Linked DNA regions of Arabidopsis thaliana. The protein of the gene in region 2 interacts with the protein of the main gene of each other region in a biochemical or structural test. Each region holds a gene or a part of one and is shown on either strand. Other genes may lie near its edges.

What was found.
Region 1: the proteins of NAC6 (region 2) and GLK2 form a complex in vitro, tested with the Arabidopsis thaliana proteins (one study listed by BioGRID).

Annotation. Positions count from the first base shown.
Region 1 is NC_003076.8:17,794,229-17,802,822, forward strand, and holds GLK2 (GOLDEN2-like 2), read left to right. Parts: upstream 1-4,052; 5' UTR 4,053-4,206; coding exon 4,207-4,653; intron 4,654-5,034; coding exon 5,035-5,175; intron 5,176-5,374; coding exon 5,375-5,710; intron 5,711-6,063; coding exon 6,064-6,153; coding exon of another isoform or gene 6,154-6,198; exon of another isoform or gene 6,199-6,272; coding exon 6,273-6,419; 3' UTR 6,420-6,698; downstream 6,699-8,594. Other genes in the region: CBP20 (CAP-binding protein 20), read right to left, coding at 7,834-7,908, 8,014-8,120, 8,209-8,274.
Region 2 is NC_003076.8:15,856,530-15,864,156, reverse strand, and holds NAC6 (NAC domain containing protein 6), read left to right. Parts: upstream 1-4,245; 5' UTR 4,246-4,506; coding exon 4,507-4,705; intron 4,706-4,815; coding exon 4,816-5,093; intron 5,094-5,185; coding exon 5,186-5,566; 3' UTR 5,567-5,759; downstream 5,760-7,627. UniProt on the Arabidopsis thaliana protein: Transcription activator that binds to DNA in promoters of target genes on a specific bipartite motif 5'-[ACG][CA]GT[AG](5-6n)[CT]AC[AG]-3'. Promotes lateral root development.

The DNA.
Region 1 (8,594 bases), 1.9 Mb from region 2:
AAAAGTGGCAAATTAGATTTAGCAGTCGAAAGCTAAGTTAATCATTTGTAATAAGATACGGAAAAAAAATGACAAGTATATATAGATATATATATATAAATTTTAATATATAGTACGACAAACAAAATTACACATAAAAGTTTCAGTTTTAGTATAAGCCGCAAATACAGGTGTAAGTGCAATAGTATTTAGGAATTGAATCCACATAGACAGAAAAAAATACAATAAATTTATAAAAATTTAAACTAAGCTAGAACAACAAAAAATTATACGAACTTATGTAAGATTTCAGAAATAAAATAATTAAATAATAACTAAATAAATATATAAATATATAAAAAAATTCGTAGAACTTGGAAAACTTATCAGAAAATTGTATAAAAAACATGTAAGTTCAATAATGATAATAAATTGAATTTCTAGTGTAAATTATCATGCTGGCGTTGCAGTAATAATATTTGTGAAATAGATTACGTAAAGAAGTGGATATAAAATTATCAGTAGTAATAAAAATTTAGTGAGGTTTGTCTTAAGCAATTCTAACAAACAATATAAACAGAATTCAGTAAATTAAGAAAGCACGATAACATCTTTTGGTTTGTTGGCTATAATAATTGGTGTAGCTAAACCTAATTACCAAGTCATCACTAAAATGAGAACTAATTTGGTTAAAGTGAGTAAGTTAAGATATTTTTCTCAACTTTCTCCTATATATGTGGACTTGTTTAACAAGAGAATTTTGATTTATTAATTGGATCGACAAGGCCAATCTATAAACAAAAACCCAAAATACGGACTAATGCAACTATCTATATGGAATCGAATTTCGGTGGATATTAAACCACTTGACTAAAAAATTTCTCTATTCGACATATATATTTGTTCATCGAGTTATTAGTTTTACAATCACACAGTAACAATAAAGAGATCCATTATTGGTTGCTTGTATACCAAACTCATAGTATACCAAACTCGTCTAAAAGATTTGGGAAAGCTACCGCTCATAAGAAACTATGGTAAGTTGGTATTGAACACAACTTATCTCACATTTCTTACAATCTATCCTTTTTAAAAGGATATTACTCAGCATAATTCGTCTCATATTTCTAATAATTCATTTTTCTTAAAAGGATATTGACATAACTCACATTAATGTTTCATTTACTTTTTACGGCTTACTGCCCTGCAAGCCCAAGCTTCCTTGTGGCCCCTCAAGCCCAAGCTAGTTTGGGCTCATGGCCAAATTTATATTTTATTAATAATGGAAGTCATGAATAATAATCTGTATTAGCGATTCCTGAAGAATTAAGATATGTCAGCTCTCTGTTTTCAAATTAGTTAAACAAACAAATTTTAATATGAGGTGAATAATCTTCTCATGTCTCTCGTTTTCCAGGGAAAGTCGTATAGGATCCATGCATCTTCCTACAACAAAATATTAAACCCCAAGCCTAATCACATTCAAACGTTTAAGGCCAAAACATCTATTACCCGAAGTAATATTTATCTAAACGATGGAAAATACATTTTTTCACTCAAAAGAGATGGGTTTGTTATTAATATATGCCTTTAAGCACTTTACATACCAAAAATATTCAATTGAAATAATCTCATTTATCCGGTTTTGTAATCTTATTATTATAATTTATGATTTTTGTACCACCAAATATTGTGGCATACCTATATATGATCTCATTCCTCTTTATTTTGAAGTGCCTAGAACACTAGTCTTCTTCTTTTCATGGTTACGAAAATGTTTACAGAAAATCATGGATGATTCAAGAAAATAGACCACTTTTTGAGATACTTTTCCGTAAACCCTAAGTATATCCATAATATCTCTACATTGACCAATGACAAATAGTAGTTTAGATATTGATGGACTTATGGGAGCTAGTTTTTATTATTAACTAGATTTTAACCCGCGGTATACCGCGGGACGATTTATTTTTAAAAGTAATATATATTAAAACTTGCAAATTTTATTTTTACAAAATATTTATATTTTACAGTTTATAATTGTTATTAAGTAACGCTATACCACGAATTCATGAGACAATTGTTAAAAAAACTGAAGTTTTGACCCCTATTAAAACAGCATATTAATAATATTTTAAAATTTTATAAATATTGATTCAAATACATCCACCATATAACCCAATTCCAAAATAAAACACGTTCTGTAATTTCTTTACCCGTCCCATGATTATTTTTTTAAGTAGTAATTTTTAAAATTTTAGAATTATTTTTATATATAAAAGTTTTGCAAATTGTATCATTCTCTAATACATTTATATTTTATAGTTTAAATTAAATTAATTAAAATTTAGATATCAAATCTTATAAGTTGATTTTGATTGGCTATTATTTTTAAAAATTAATAATGTATTTCGTTTTTAATTAATTAAATTAATTAAATTAGTATTTGACTTTTTAATCCTTAAAGAGATAAATTAATTTACTCTTTAAAATTTTATTTCTAATGGCATACCTATGTAATTACTTACAAAAATTAAGGTTACATTTAAAATGTACTTCCCAAATAATATAGTAGGATAAATTGTTTTATCTATGATTTATGAATATCCACATCAGTTCTGTAAAAAATAAAACTAAAAGAAAAACCAAGGAGAAAACAAATCGCCTTGTAAAAAACCGTTTTTGATAAATGTAACATTTAGGTTTTGTGTTAGTTAAGATCCGAAACAAGACAAATCTTATACACGCCATAATCCAGTATGTCGAAATCTACACCGTATTAATTATTGCTACTATGAACAACCATTCTATCCGATCATAGACTTTACTCTTATTTGTCGTTATTATCATAAAATGTCGTTTAAATAAATTATTTGTAGGATACCAATTCTTTAATTATATTAGTTCAAACACGTATAATTTTGGTGGTTTTTGAGGATGAATATCATCAAAGATAAATGCATTTTGGTGAAATAAATAATCAAATAATTATTTTAAATTATCTTTATGCACCACTATTTTTAATAAATTGGACTCTTACAACGTTTTCCTTAAAAAAAATCATGGATCTTAAAACTTATACCCAAACAAATATGTAGAAAATTATTATTATATATATAAATATATATATATATATATAAGCTATACAAAATCTTATTATATAGTAGTAGCGCTTGATTCTAAAATAGCATAATTAGACGAAAAAGCATGCATTTTGTAACATTTTATACTTTGTAAGTAAAACACATAAAAAATAATTTTATGAATAAGAAATCCACATAAAAAAAAAAAGAAGTAACATACTGTGAAAAATTAGGAAACTTTTTGAGGCACCAATTTTTTATGCCACTTTCAAAAAAGCATTAATGAAAATTTGTTTAAAATATCATTTTAAAATTTGACGTACAAAAGTACAAAACCTCATACAATTTCAAAACTTTACAAAGACTCAATAACATGTGTTATAGAGACTTTATAAACTTTCTTATAACATACTCTATAATTTTTTATATCCATATATTTGTGATATTTTTGAAAATGGATAAAATAAATTTGATATTTTTATAAATAGAAAATATTAATGGTATTTTTGAATTTTTCCCAAAATAATTATTAGTCTTATACTCCAAAATGTAAAAAAAAATCACTTTTTATTAAAAAAATACTTACGCATTTGCTTAATTGCTAGTCGTCAAAGTTTTGTCATTTTATGCAAATACTAAAAAAATGTAGAAAGCATTTCCTCTTTATTTTTGGGACAACCAAGAAAGGAGCATTTCAATAGTGTATACATAGACAAAAATATTTCTCATTTCCTATATTTGACTCTTTAAATCTTTAATAGCTCTTGTAATTTTTTCCATTCATTGTAATACAGCCATAATGTTTAAAAGGAAACTGTCAATTATAAACTTATACTAGAATATAAAATATGGTATTGAATTGAATATTTTCAAAAATAAAATATTAAATTTACGAAAAGAATAAAAAAACTTAAAAATCTCTCTCTCCTATCTCTCAACCACAACTTATTTTTCATGTCAGTATCCACCAACACATATATACGGCATATAAAAGATTTTAATAAAACCTTGGAACTATCTATATCTATTCAGACACACACGTCTATATATATATATACACTCATATACTACTTTCACTGTATCATTCTTGTTTTCTCTAAATTTTTCAAAAAACCTTTAGAATTTTCATTTTTTTACGATTCCGATGTTAACTGTTTCTCCGGCTCCAGTACTCATCGGAAACAACTCAAAGGATACTTACATGGCGGCAGATTTCGCAGATTTTACGACGGAAGACTTGCCGGACTTTACGACGGTCGGGGATTTTTCCGATGATCTTCTTGATGGAATCGATTACTACGACGATCTTTTCATTGGTTTCGATGGAGACGATGTTTTGCCGGATTTGGAGATAGATTCGGAGATTCTTGGGGAATATTCCGGTAGCGGAAGAGATGAGGAACAAGAAATGGAGGGTAACACTTCGACGGCATCGGAGACATCGGAGAGAGACGTTGGTGTGTGTAAGCAAGAGGGTGGTGGTGGTGGTGACGGTGGTTTTAGGGACAAAACGGTGCGTCGAGGCAAACGTAAAGGGAAGAAAAGTAAAGATTGTTTATCCGATGAGAACGATATTAAGAAAAAACCTAAGGTGTGTTTATTTCCCAATTATCCATGTTAGATTAGTTTATTTTTTTTCTTCTTTAAAGGTAAAAAATCCCATTAAGAAATCACCAACCTTTTTAAGGATTTCATTAAAAAAACATAAACTTCTAGTGTTTCTGAATATTTTTTTTACAAAGTTAGTGAATTAGTGTATTTATCATATACACAATTATTATTAAGTTTGATAACTGGAGTAGATCTAGGACCAAAACCAAGTTTTGTGTAGTAGGACTATACAAATTTGTGTGTTTATTTGGACTAAATATTTTTTTTTATAAAACTGTAAGACAATTTTCTATAAAAAAAATGAATTCCTTTTTTTTCTTTTCATTTATTGATTAATTAATATATTGTTCCGGCAAATCAGGTGGATTGGACGCCGGAGTTACACCGGAAATTTGTACAAGCGGTGGAGCAATTAGGGGTAGACAAGGCGGTGCCGTCTCGAATCTTGGAAATTATGAACGTTAAATCTCTCACTCGTCACAACGTTGCTAGCCATCTTCAGGTAAATTTTAGACTAAAACTATACAAACTAATTTTAACAGGAATTAATCAAGTGCTATAACCCCTAACATAGTAATTACCTAATTTATAGATTACATGTTTTTCCTTCAAAATTTTTTATGAAAAGACAAGTAAAATACTAACCAACTCAGATTTGTGTAATAAGATTAATTTGTGTTGTGTTCTTCTTGTAATGATAGAAATATAGGTCACATCGGAAACATCTACTAGCGCGTGAAGCAGAAGCTGCCAGCTGGAATCTCCGGAGACATGCCACGGTGGCAGTGCCCGGAGTAGGAGGAGGAGGGAAGAAGCCGTGGACAGCTCCTGCCTTAGGCTATCCTCCACACGTGGCACCAATGCATCATGGTCACTTCAGGCCTTTGCACGTATGGGGTCATCCTACGTGGCCAAAACACAAGCCTAATACTCCGGCGTCTGCTCATCGGACGTATCCAATGCCGGCCATTGCGGCGGCTCCGGCATCTTGGCCAGGTCATCCACCGTACTGGCATCAGCAACCACTCTATCCACAGGTAATAATAATTCATTTGTAAAAATGTTACATGTTTTTCCATTATTAGTTGTATGGTTAAATCATGAAAAATAATCGAAATGACATAACTAAATCAGCTTTGTTGAACAATCATGACACTGCAAAAAGCTAGTCTTTGTACACTATTGGCTTTTTAACACATGCAACATATATAAGTATAAAACGGAATCATTGAATTAGATTGTGGTTTTGTCTAACAACGCAATTAGTAAAAGATTGCAAGATCATGAATCATTTTTATGTAGACAACTAATAAAGATTTAGAGCTATGAATTATGTATGGATTTTACAAAAACATATTTCTAATCATGGTTTATGTGTATATATGTGTAGGGATATGGTATGGCATCATCGAATCATTCAAGCATCGGTGTTCCCACAAGACAATTAGGACCCACTAATCCTCCCATCGACATTCATCCCGTGAGTGCACCTTTTTTGGTTTCAATTTTGTTTATTAGATTTTGATTATGACATAACCCAAAAAAGTTTTCGAATAAATTTTGGATAATTAACAATATTTCATTACTTGACGGTTGCAGTCGAATGAGAGCATAGATGCAGCTATTGGGGACGTTATATCAAAGCCGTGGCTGCCGCTTCCTTTGGGACTGAAACCGCCGTCGGTTGACGGTGTTATGACGGAGTTACAACGTCAAGGAGTTTCTAATGTTCCTCCTCTTCCTTGAGAAAGATCTCCAAAATTTGTCGAAATCTCAAACTTTTAACTTCATTTTTTTGGTATCTTCTATGTATTTTTGCAAGGGAAAGACGATAAATCCTTGTTGCTTGATCATATGTATTTCTCTATATGAGTGCATGTATCGAAGTTAAGCAACTTTAATATATCGTTATAATCTTCGATAGCAGAATCTGTAATTTTTATTAACTTTCAACTCCCGAAGCATCATTGCAAAATGACTAAATGCAACACTTTTTGGGGTTAAAAATGCTTAACATTTTAAAACATTACTATCATTTATTCAATCAACAATTTATAGTTTTATACAATTGAAAACTAGACGGGATATATATCGCATGTGTTTTTTCAATGGCTTATTTTGTTTTATAATGCCAACTTTCACAGCTATGGATTGTGACTATTTATAATTTCAAAGAAGTCAAATATTTTTAAAACTCAATTAAAGTCCATAAAAAAATTTGCAATTGATAATGTTAACATATCGTGGCAAAAAAAAAAAAAAAGTACAACACATAATTGGAGTTTAGATATACGAATATTCTTTTAATTGGTTCCATGTAAAAAACTTAATTCAAACGGATTCGATTGGTGACACAAAATGGTAAAAACAAAAAAGCGGAAAAAGTTTTAAAAATACTAGAATAGTTGAAAGAAGTAAAAAAAATACAGGTACAAAAAATACAATAGTACAAAAAAATACTAGAATAGTTGTAGATATACTTTTGTGTTTAGTAAACTATTAAAGCATTAAATATTGTACCATGCGATAGAGATTACCAATCAAAAGCCAAAGTGATGATGCAGAATAAGTTAATAACAATTACTTTGGGGTAAGAAGTTTAAATTACTCTTGAATGTAGAAGGCATGAAAGTGGCATGTTTGATGGATTGTGTTTGTCGAGCATTGTGCAGACGCAGCTCAATAACGTTAATTTATATACATTCAACTCTTGAAAGACATTGAAGCTGTATCTTTGGCTTTGACACACTAGCAGCTCTCGATGGAGTTATGCGTGATCTAGTTAGTTACTATATCTCATTCTCCATCAGATAAATGTAAGTTCGTATAATACTTTTTCGGAAGCTTCTAATGCATAAAGGAGCTGTATTTGGACAAATACTTTGAGAAATGTAAGAAGCGTACAATGTGATGAGAAAGAATGATACAAAGTGATTAGTGAGTACTATGGAGGGCCTTCACTCGGCTACTTTAGCCCAATAGACTAGTAATGACATATCAGTTGATCAAGGAGCAAAAGTTAATGAGGACACTGATATTGAACGAAACCACTTAAGAAAGGTTGTAATGAAAATCTAGAAAACCCAAACTGAGTTCAGACTCATCAATCTAAAGATTACATTGACCATTCAGCAACATTGACAACTTCTAAAGTTTTGTTTTAAGATCTTCTCTTCCGATCATCTTCACCATCGTCATCGGAGTCACCGCTCTCACGGAATCGTGGGTTCTTCTCCTGTTACAATCACACAAAATTCCATAGCAGACAGTGTTTTAGCATCAGATACTAAATATACTCGAAACGTTTAGTAAGGAAAAAGAAAAAGGCCTTGTTATTTACCGGTCTCATGTCACTATCAGTGTCTCTCCTAGACTCATGATCTGTGTTTCTTCTTGAGTTATCGCGGCCATAGCGATCATCGTCTCTTTGTCGTTTCCGATGGTAGTCTGCAAAAACATTAAAAACAGTGAATTGTGCTATTGTGGCTGAGGATTACACTATTACTACGCATTATGTCATTTGGGATAAAAATACCTCCTCTTCCATGGCGATTTTGTCCTCCTTGACCATAGTTTCCACCACCACGCCTTCCATTTCCATCTGTGATTAACATATGCAAAAAGCATTTAGGAATCTAGTGTTTTGCAGGCTCTATTTACGGATTCTCACATAATTTGACTTGAATAAGATACTTAACACTAGGACCATATCTTGTTTCACATTTTCACTATCTATTCGAAAGGGAACTGGGAAAACAATAAGCAGATGCTTTGCAAGATAAAGAGTCTTATTCTGAGCACTACAATTCTAAGTAAAGCAACTTAAGACTCGCATTCATGGTACTTTTAGTTCACCATTTGTCCACAGTATAGTGCGAAATCATGAAACCAGGAATAAGATCAAGTAAATTTGGTAGAAAG
Region 2 (7,627 bases):
ATATTGACATCAATTATCGACCATCATATGTTTTTTGTAAGAAAATTATTATATTATTTCAACATAAGGGATTGTAAGATTTTGGTTCCATATAACACTTCTTTACATAATTAAAACAAGGTTAAGCAATACGTTATGCATTAATGCATCTACTATATATATATCGATTTATTTAGTTCAAGGAAAAAACTTCAGTTCAATACCGATATTTTCCCCGAAAATACCAAAACACATAAATCTCTAGAAAACGCTTTTTGTCTTCAACTCTTTCTCTCAATATGTCTAAAGTCGATATAGTACTTGAATTAGTTGAAACTGCGTCTTCATTGCACCGTACTCTAAGTTAACGTGATCATGAGACACTCGTAAAAACCATATATATCTAGTTTTTCAATTTAGTTTCAGAAAAGGGTTAGAGAGCTGTGAGATTTCCTCAATCCCGTTACTTAGAATTTTAGTATGGAAGATTCGATTTATCAAACTAAGCTAACAGCACAATTATAAAATTACAACAAATCAAGCTTTACGGCAAAGTGTTGACCATGATCCTATTAGCAAGTGATTAATTTAATTAGTATATCTACAAATTCGATTGCCTAACTTTTTTTTGACATTGGATCGCCTAACTTTAACAATACAACATTTATATTATCCATTTTCTACAAACCAATGAACTATCGACTCATGTCTTGTTCCCTCTCACAAGCCCATGTTTCGCCCAAGGAAGCATTAGTCAAACTTCAAATCCCAACTTAAACTAAAGTAATTAACTAAATTAGTTATTTTCAAATACTTTAATTATGATAATTAAGAATAGTTTTAGAAGATGCTTACCATTTTCTCTTCCCCACTGATATACCACCACGTGCGCATTTTGGAATTGCTAGTACGTGTGACGTGTCCATGAGAAGGTTGGCATTGCCAATACGATTAAAACTCTTGCCGTTTCAAAGAAAAATCGACACGTGTGTTTCGGGCTCACCAAAACTAAGATATTTTTATGGAATTTGTTTTAATATTTCCTGAAAAGGAAAGGACTGCTAAAACAAAAAAGAAAGGATTAGCTTTAGAATGATTGATTTGATTTCATTAATAGCCAATATTACAAAATATCCCAATGAGAGTCCAACTATTGATTGCTTTAAGAAGGGAACTCAGTCTAAAAGTCACATGATTAATAGTTTAATACACTAATACACATTTTCAATGAAATTATGATTGTGTTATATGACTATAATCTATCACCAAACGTTATATTCTTTCCCGTTTATAAAGAATTCTCTCTTTTGTATATATACTTCATATCTACTTGTCTTGTCTTGTGATATATATTTCATATCTATATAGTTTCAAAACATTTAGGCATTGAAATTTTATCAAAAAAAAAAAAATATCACAAAAGTACTGATAACACATTGGTAAATTATTGTAAATTTGTAATACAGGTTATCCAATTATTCTCAGGTCCGTTGAATTCTAAAAAAAATTGTGCGGAAAAATAAGAGATATATTTTCTTCAAAATCTCTTTTTAGATTTTCTCTACTATAAAAAGGTGACAAAAACACAAAAACACAAAAACGAATGACACCTATTTACAAGAATCTGCTTGTGAATAAAAACACAAAACGAACGACGACTAAGTGCTTTTTAAGTTAAAATTGAGCTAGTCTTTTTCCTAAGAGAAACGACCAAATATCAGAAACAAAACCGAAGTAGGATTCTACTTGTGAAAAAGATAACTAAAGCGATGAAAAAGTCAAAAGTAAAACAAAACTCAACATCAAAAAGAATAGAGTAGTATATATGCTTCATGAGCCGCCCCATCCTAGCATGAGGAAGATCGAGAACCTCTTCGTCCAATTCATAAGCGTATAAGTGCTTGATATTGAAGACATTCGTGGTGTGAATATGTGGAGAAGCTTCAAACGGTATGCATTGAAATTTAATTTCTCAACGACCTCTAGCATACCAATTTTCTAGCTAGGCCTTAATCTTATTGTACTCTTGAGCCAGAAAACGGTCTTTGGGTAAGACAATACACCCTAACCTATTACGGACACTAAATTGAACATCATGCCAATGTTTCTTTACATTTTATTTGTACTTGACCGAAGTCATTACTAAAGTGCCATGAGATCGATTGTGTACACGAAGCAACTCATCCTTAAAATCCACCACACTACCATGAAAACAATATGGGTATAGAAGTAAGGCAAAATCATTCGAACAACAAGAGATGAAACCATAAATTATATGTAACAGACAGAACCTGAGCTTCCATTGATTGTGTGATTGCTTGCAATTTCAACAAATCATATTGCCTAATGCCTGATTCGCGACTTATTTATATGGATAATACACATAGTTACTCATGTATACAACATCTTCTATAAAGATTTTAAAAATATTTCCAGTTACATGATAACATGAAAAATGATTAGTTCTATGGTTACATATTGTCATTCTTTTGAATGTATGCATCTAACCTTCTAGAGTCATTGTGCTCCATTATTGTATCTCTATTAACGGTTACCATCAAAATTTTTGCATGTCATTTTACCTTGTAAATTTATTACAAGAATAATAAAAACCCCGATTACAATTCGAAAGAAAGTAAATCCGACGACCCGAGTAATTGATAAAAATTTAACCCAAAAATAAAATCGATGGTGCCACACGCTATGTCTTGAAATGGTTTTATTAAGGTTTTCTTGAAATGGATCTTGAAAATCTTCCAAGAATTGTTAAATATGTCATGCTATATCATATATGTCATGATCAATAAATAAATAGTGATAACTGATAAGTGACTACTTTTGAATGTATGCATCTAACCTTCTAGAGTCTTACATTCTCTTTGGTGCTATAAATTTTATTTCTCTTTTGCAACTTGTCAAACTTATATATCTTGCTCGTTTTAAGTCTAGAAAATCAGATTTTTTTTTTTAATTTGAAAAAAAGAGTATGAAAAACGTAATTATTACTTCACCTTTCAATAACGATCCAAATTTCATTCCAGCCATATACATACGATTTTTTATATATTTTTATAAATCAAACGAAATGACGCTAAGAAAAAATAGAGTGCACATGTTGTAGCAATGCAAATGACAACCTCGTATGAACAAAACACGTGATTCGATCATGAAAAGAAAATACTTGACATATAATATGGCGAAGGTAAGTAAAGTTGTTCAAAATGTCTTCAAAGTCTAACTGAATTTCATCATCAACATCCTCATCATTCATCATCATTACCACCTTCACATGGAAATCGATTTTCTATCCAAACTTTCATTGAATTTTTAATATATAGTTTTAGATATTAGTATTATAAACGAAAAAAAAAAAAGATATTAATATTATAATTTCTTATAACGGTAGACACTGGAATAAGACAAGAGGACCAGTTGCTTTAATAATATAAAAATATACTTTACAAGGTTCATGCATGCATACATTGTTTTCACGAGATGGATAACATTTGTTAAACAAATAAAACAAATTATATGTAACCATGTGAACTTTTTTCTTTCTAATACTTATCCTAAATAACAACACCAATAATAGTGACCCGTACCGTAAGAATAGTAAATGTAAAAAAAGTCATTCTTTTTGTTAAAAAGAAAGACCAGTAAAAAGTCATTCTCTTCAAACCATTCACACTGAATTATTATATTTACAATCCCATTATATTAGTAACCTTACGTATTAGTACCAAATTTATAACTCGAAACTACTATAAATGAATAATCACATAGTTTCAATTATGAATTGTTATCAAATCAATAATCACAGTTTACTAAACAGGTAAAATCTAACCGTTGATAATGAGATAAAGAATGGACAAAAACATCACGATTTAATGTGATAAGAACAATCTTATCACATAAACAAAAAAAGGGACAGGGAGTTACAGGTGAAGTGTTCCTGGTCAAATTGAAACTTGGAAATAATAAAGTTCTTGAAATAGAAAGGTTTATTTTTAATTGAAAACGATATTTGAGAATCACACATCTTAAGTTGCCTAACAATCTACGCATCTTCTTCTTTTCTCTATCCTATTAAGAAAACTAAAAATAGCATTTTCTGATTTAAAATATGATTTGATAGTTGTATTAGATTTAAACGCGAAACCTCATGTATATACATAATAATATATTTATTAGAAGTAAGATAACAGATTTTCTTTTTCTTTATAGTAGGTAAAACTCTTGAATTTCAATACAAATAATTGTTCTAAAGAAGAACTTGATACGAAAAAATTGACCAATTATTGGTCAATATATTAAAAAGAATAAATTATTTTAGTGTTCTTATTTCTCAAATGAAAACTAGTATATAGAGAGGAGCTTCGTTGCTCAAACACTTTCCTCTCTCTTAAAAACCTCAACTTTCTTCTCTCTTCTCAAAAACCCTTCCCTCTTCGTCTCCAAACAACAACAAACACAACAACAACAAAAATCTTACAAGAAGATCATTTTTAGAAACCCTATTAGGATAAAATGGATTACGAGGCATCAAGAATCGTCGAAATGGTAGAAGATGAAGAACATATAGATCTACCACCAGGATTCAGATTTCACCCTACTGATGAAGAACTCATAACTCACTACCTCAAACCAAAGGTTTTCAACACTTTCTTCTCTGCTACTGCCATTGGTGAAGTTGATCTCAACAAGATTGAGCCTTGGGACTTACCATGTAAGTTTCACACCTTATCTTTCTATTTCCTCAAGTCTTTTGTTTGTCTTCTTTCTACCATTAAACTCATGGTTCTGAATTCTGATACATGGCTGGTTTTGTTGGAACAGGGAAGGCTAAGATGGGAGAAAAAGAATGGTATTTCTTCTGTGTGAGAGACCGGAAATACCCGACCGGTTTAAGGACAAACCGGGCGACAGAAGCCGGTTATTGGAAAGCCACAGGAAAAGACAAAGAGATATTCAAGGGAAAATCACTTGTGGGTATGAAGAAAACTTTGGTTTTCTATAAAGGAAGAGCTCCTAAAGGAGTTAAAACCAATTGGGTTATGCATGAATATCGTTTAGAAGGCAAATATTGTATTGAAAATCTTCCCCAAACAGCTAAGGTAATAACATTAAGAGATTTTGTGTGTTTCTGTCTTTTGTTTTTTTTGGGGACTTGAAATTAATTCTTTTGTTTGGTTGTTTGTGAATGTAGAACGAATGGGTTATATGTCGTGTTTTCCAAAAACGTGCCGATGGTACAAAGGTTCCAATGTCAATGCTTGATCCACACATTAACCGAATGGAACCAGCCGGTTTACCTTCGTTAATGGATTGTTCTCAACGAGACTCCTTCACCGGTTCGTCGTCTCACGTGACCTGCTTCTCCGACCAAGAAACCGAAGACAAAAGACTTGTCCACGAGTCCAAAGACGGTTTTGGTTCTCTGTTTTACTCGGATCCTCTGTTTTTACAAGACAATTATTCGCTAATGAAGCTGTTGCTTGACGGTCAAGAAACTCAATTCTCCGGCAAACCTTTCGACGGTCGTGATTCGTCCGGTACAGAAGAATTGGATTGCGTTTGGAATTTCTGAGTTGTATAAGTTATGTTGTAGACTTGTAGTAGTCATGTGTTCGTGTGTGTGAATGAATATTCTTGTTACATTTTTTTGTAAAAAAGGAGAAAAAAATATGCTAGAAAGTCAATTGCTTTTGTTATGTAGCATTAGTGTTTTTTATGTACTCAATAGACTTCCTAATTAAATAAAAATCTTAATTTATTTGCCATGTACAATGCTAAAGTCAAGTTAACACATTTAAATAAAATTTTATTTTTAAAACACACAAAGAAGGTAAGAAAATATAATATGAAAATTTTAAAACACATACATAATTATTTTATATTGGTGTGAAGTTTTTGTTTTTATAAATTTGAAACTAGAGTAGTTAGAAGCCAAATTTGTTTACTGTTCTTCTCAATGACGAAATTTTACATGACATATGTTAGGCCACCAACCAAAGAGTTGATATTATGACTTATGAGTATTTAACAAAGTTTCATAGATATTTATCATTATTATATTGTTATGTCAAACTTAACATGTTTAGGTGATCATCTTGTTTTCATACTACCTAAATGTTTTCCCAATTTCTAATTTGGACATTTTCGTTTAGCAAAATGATAATGTTCCCAACGTAACCCTAAGATCGATAACATGTTTTTGGAAAAAAAAAAAGAAAGAGAGAGCTTACAACTACATCAAAATGAAACATGAACATGTGTGATATATATAAATAAGTAAATAACATGTGTGAATTAATTTTGCAACGCCGCCAGTAACTCAATTACATGCACAATACGCAACTTTATACCAACTTCCTCATCGGATAATATTATTACGTCTCCAAATCTTCTTGCGTTCCTCTGGCCATTGATAACATATGTTTAAAAATAAAATTGCATATGGCTTATAAATACTTTGAGATGATCATAGTCTTAGTTCATGTTTCTCTTCAAGTTTGTTATTTACTAAACAAACAATAAACATGATCGATAGTATAACATTTTACGTTTTCATATTTTTAAAAAGTAATTCTACTATATATACAGGCGTCTTAAAATTATTAAAAATCAAAAATACAACATCATTAATCTGCTGTACTATTTATTTTACATTATGTGACTATTTTTCAAAAACTTTATTCATTTTAGTTCATTCTGCTATCAATTATTTTTTTCTTTCGCTATTATTCAGTTTAATTGACATACCAGTCAGATTTAGTATTATTAAACCGATATATATATATATATATATATATATATATTTTTAATATATAAAAAAGATAGCTAGTAAAGAAAATAATAATCAGAAATTAGCTATCATATAAAAATTAATAAAAATGTTTATACATTTGATACAACTTGGTACATCATTTTTAATCTGAACATATCCTTCAATATTTTTCTACCAAAAAATATTGTGTTTTTAAACTATCTTATTCTAGTATCCTCTATAAACGTTTCTAAAAAAAAACTAAAAATTTGTTTAAGTTTTCAAATTCTAAAAATTACAGATTTTCATTTCAATAGTCATATAGGCGGCCTAAATCCAATAATTGAACTATTGAAGTCACTAGTAATGAATTTGAATTTATGTATATCACTTGTATGAGTGAATTTTCTTGTCTTTGATATTGATTGTCAATTTTTATTTGTTTTTTTCTTCTAAATTTAAATTATTGTTGAACCAAGGATTCACACAATAGATTTGTTTAGAGAGGGAAAACAAATCTAATAATTTTTCTTCATTAGGTATTCTATCCAAGACTCGATAATAAAAGAGGTTCTAATCTCTTCTGAAATACATTAGGGTTTGCTCAAGAACAGAAAAAGAATTAGGGTTTTAAAAAGGTATAGCTGCATCCATAATGGATTGCCTACGTACCCTGTGAAGGGATCAAGCCATTCGTAGTTCTCAATATGTATAAAGTTATGCGTTTCTTGTGAGTATCCAAAGATCCCCCCTTTGTGAAGTCCCTAAGGCACTTTATATAGGATCCTTAAACCGCCTCCCTACCGATATTCTTCGGAAGATTCTTATTTATCCTTAGGTCGATTCTAGAGGATAATCGTCCTAAGGATATTCTCCTTATTC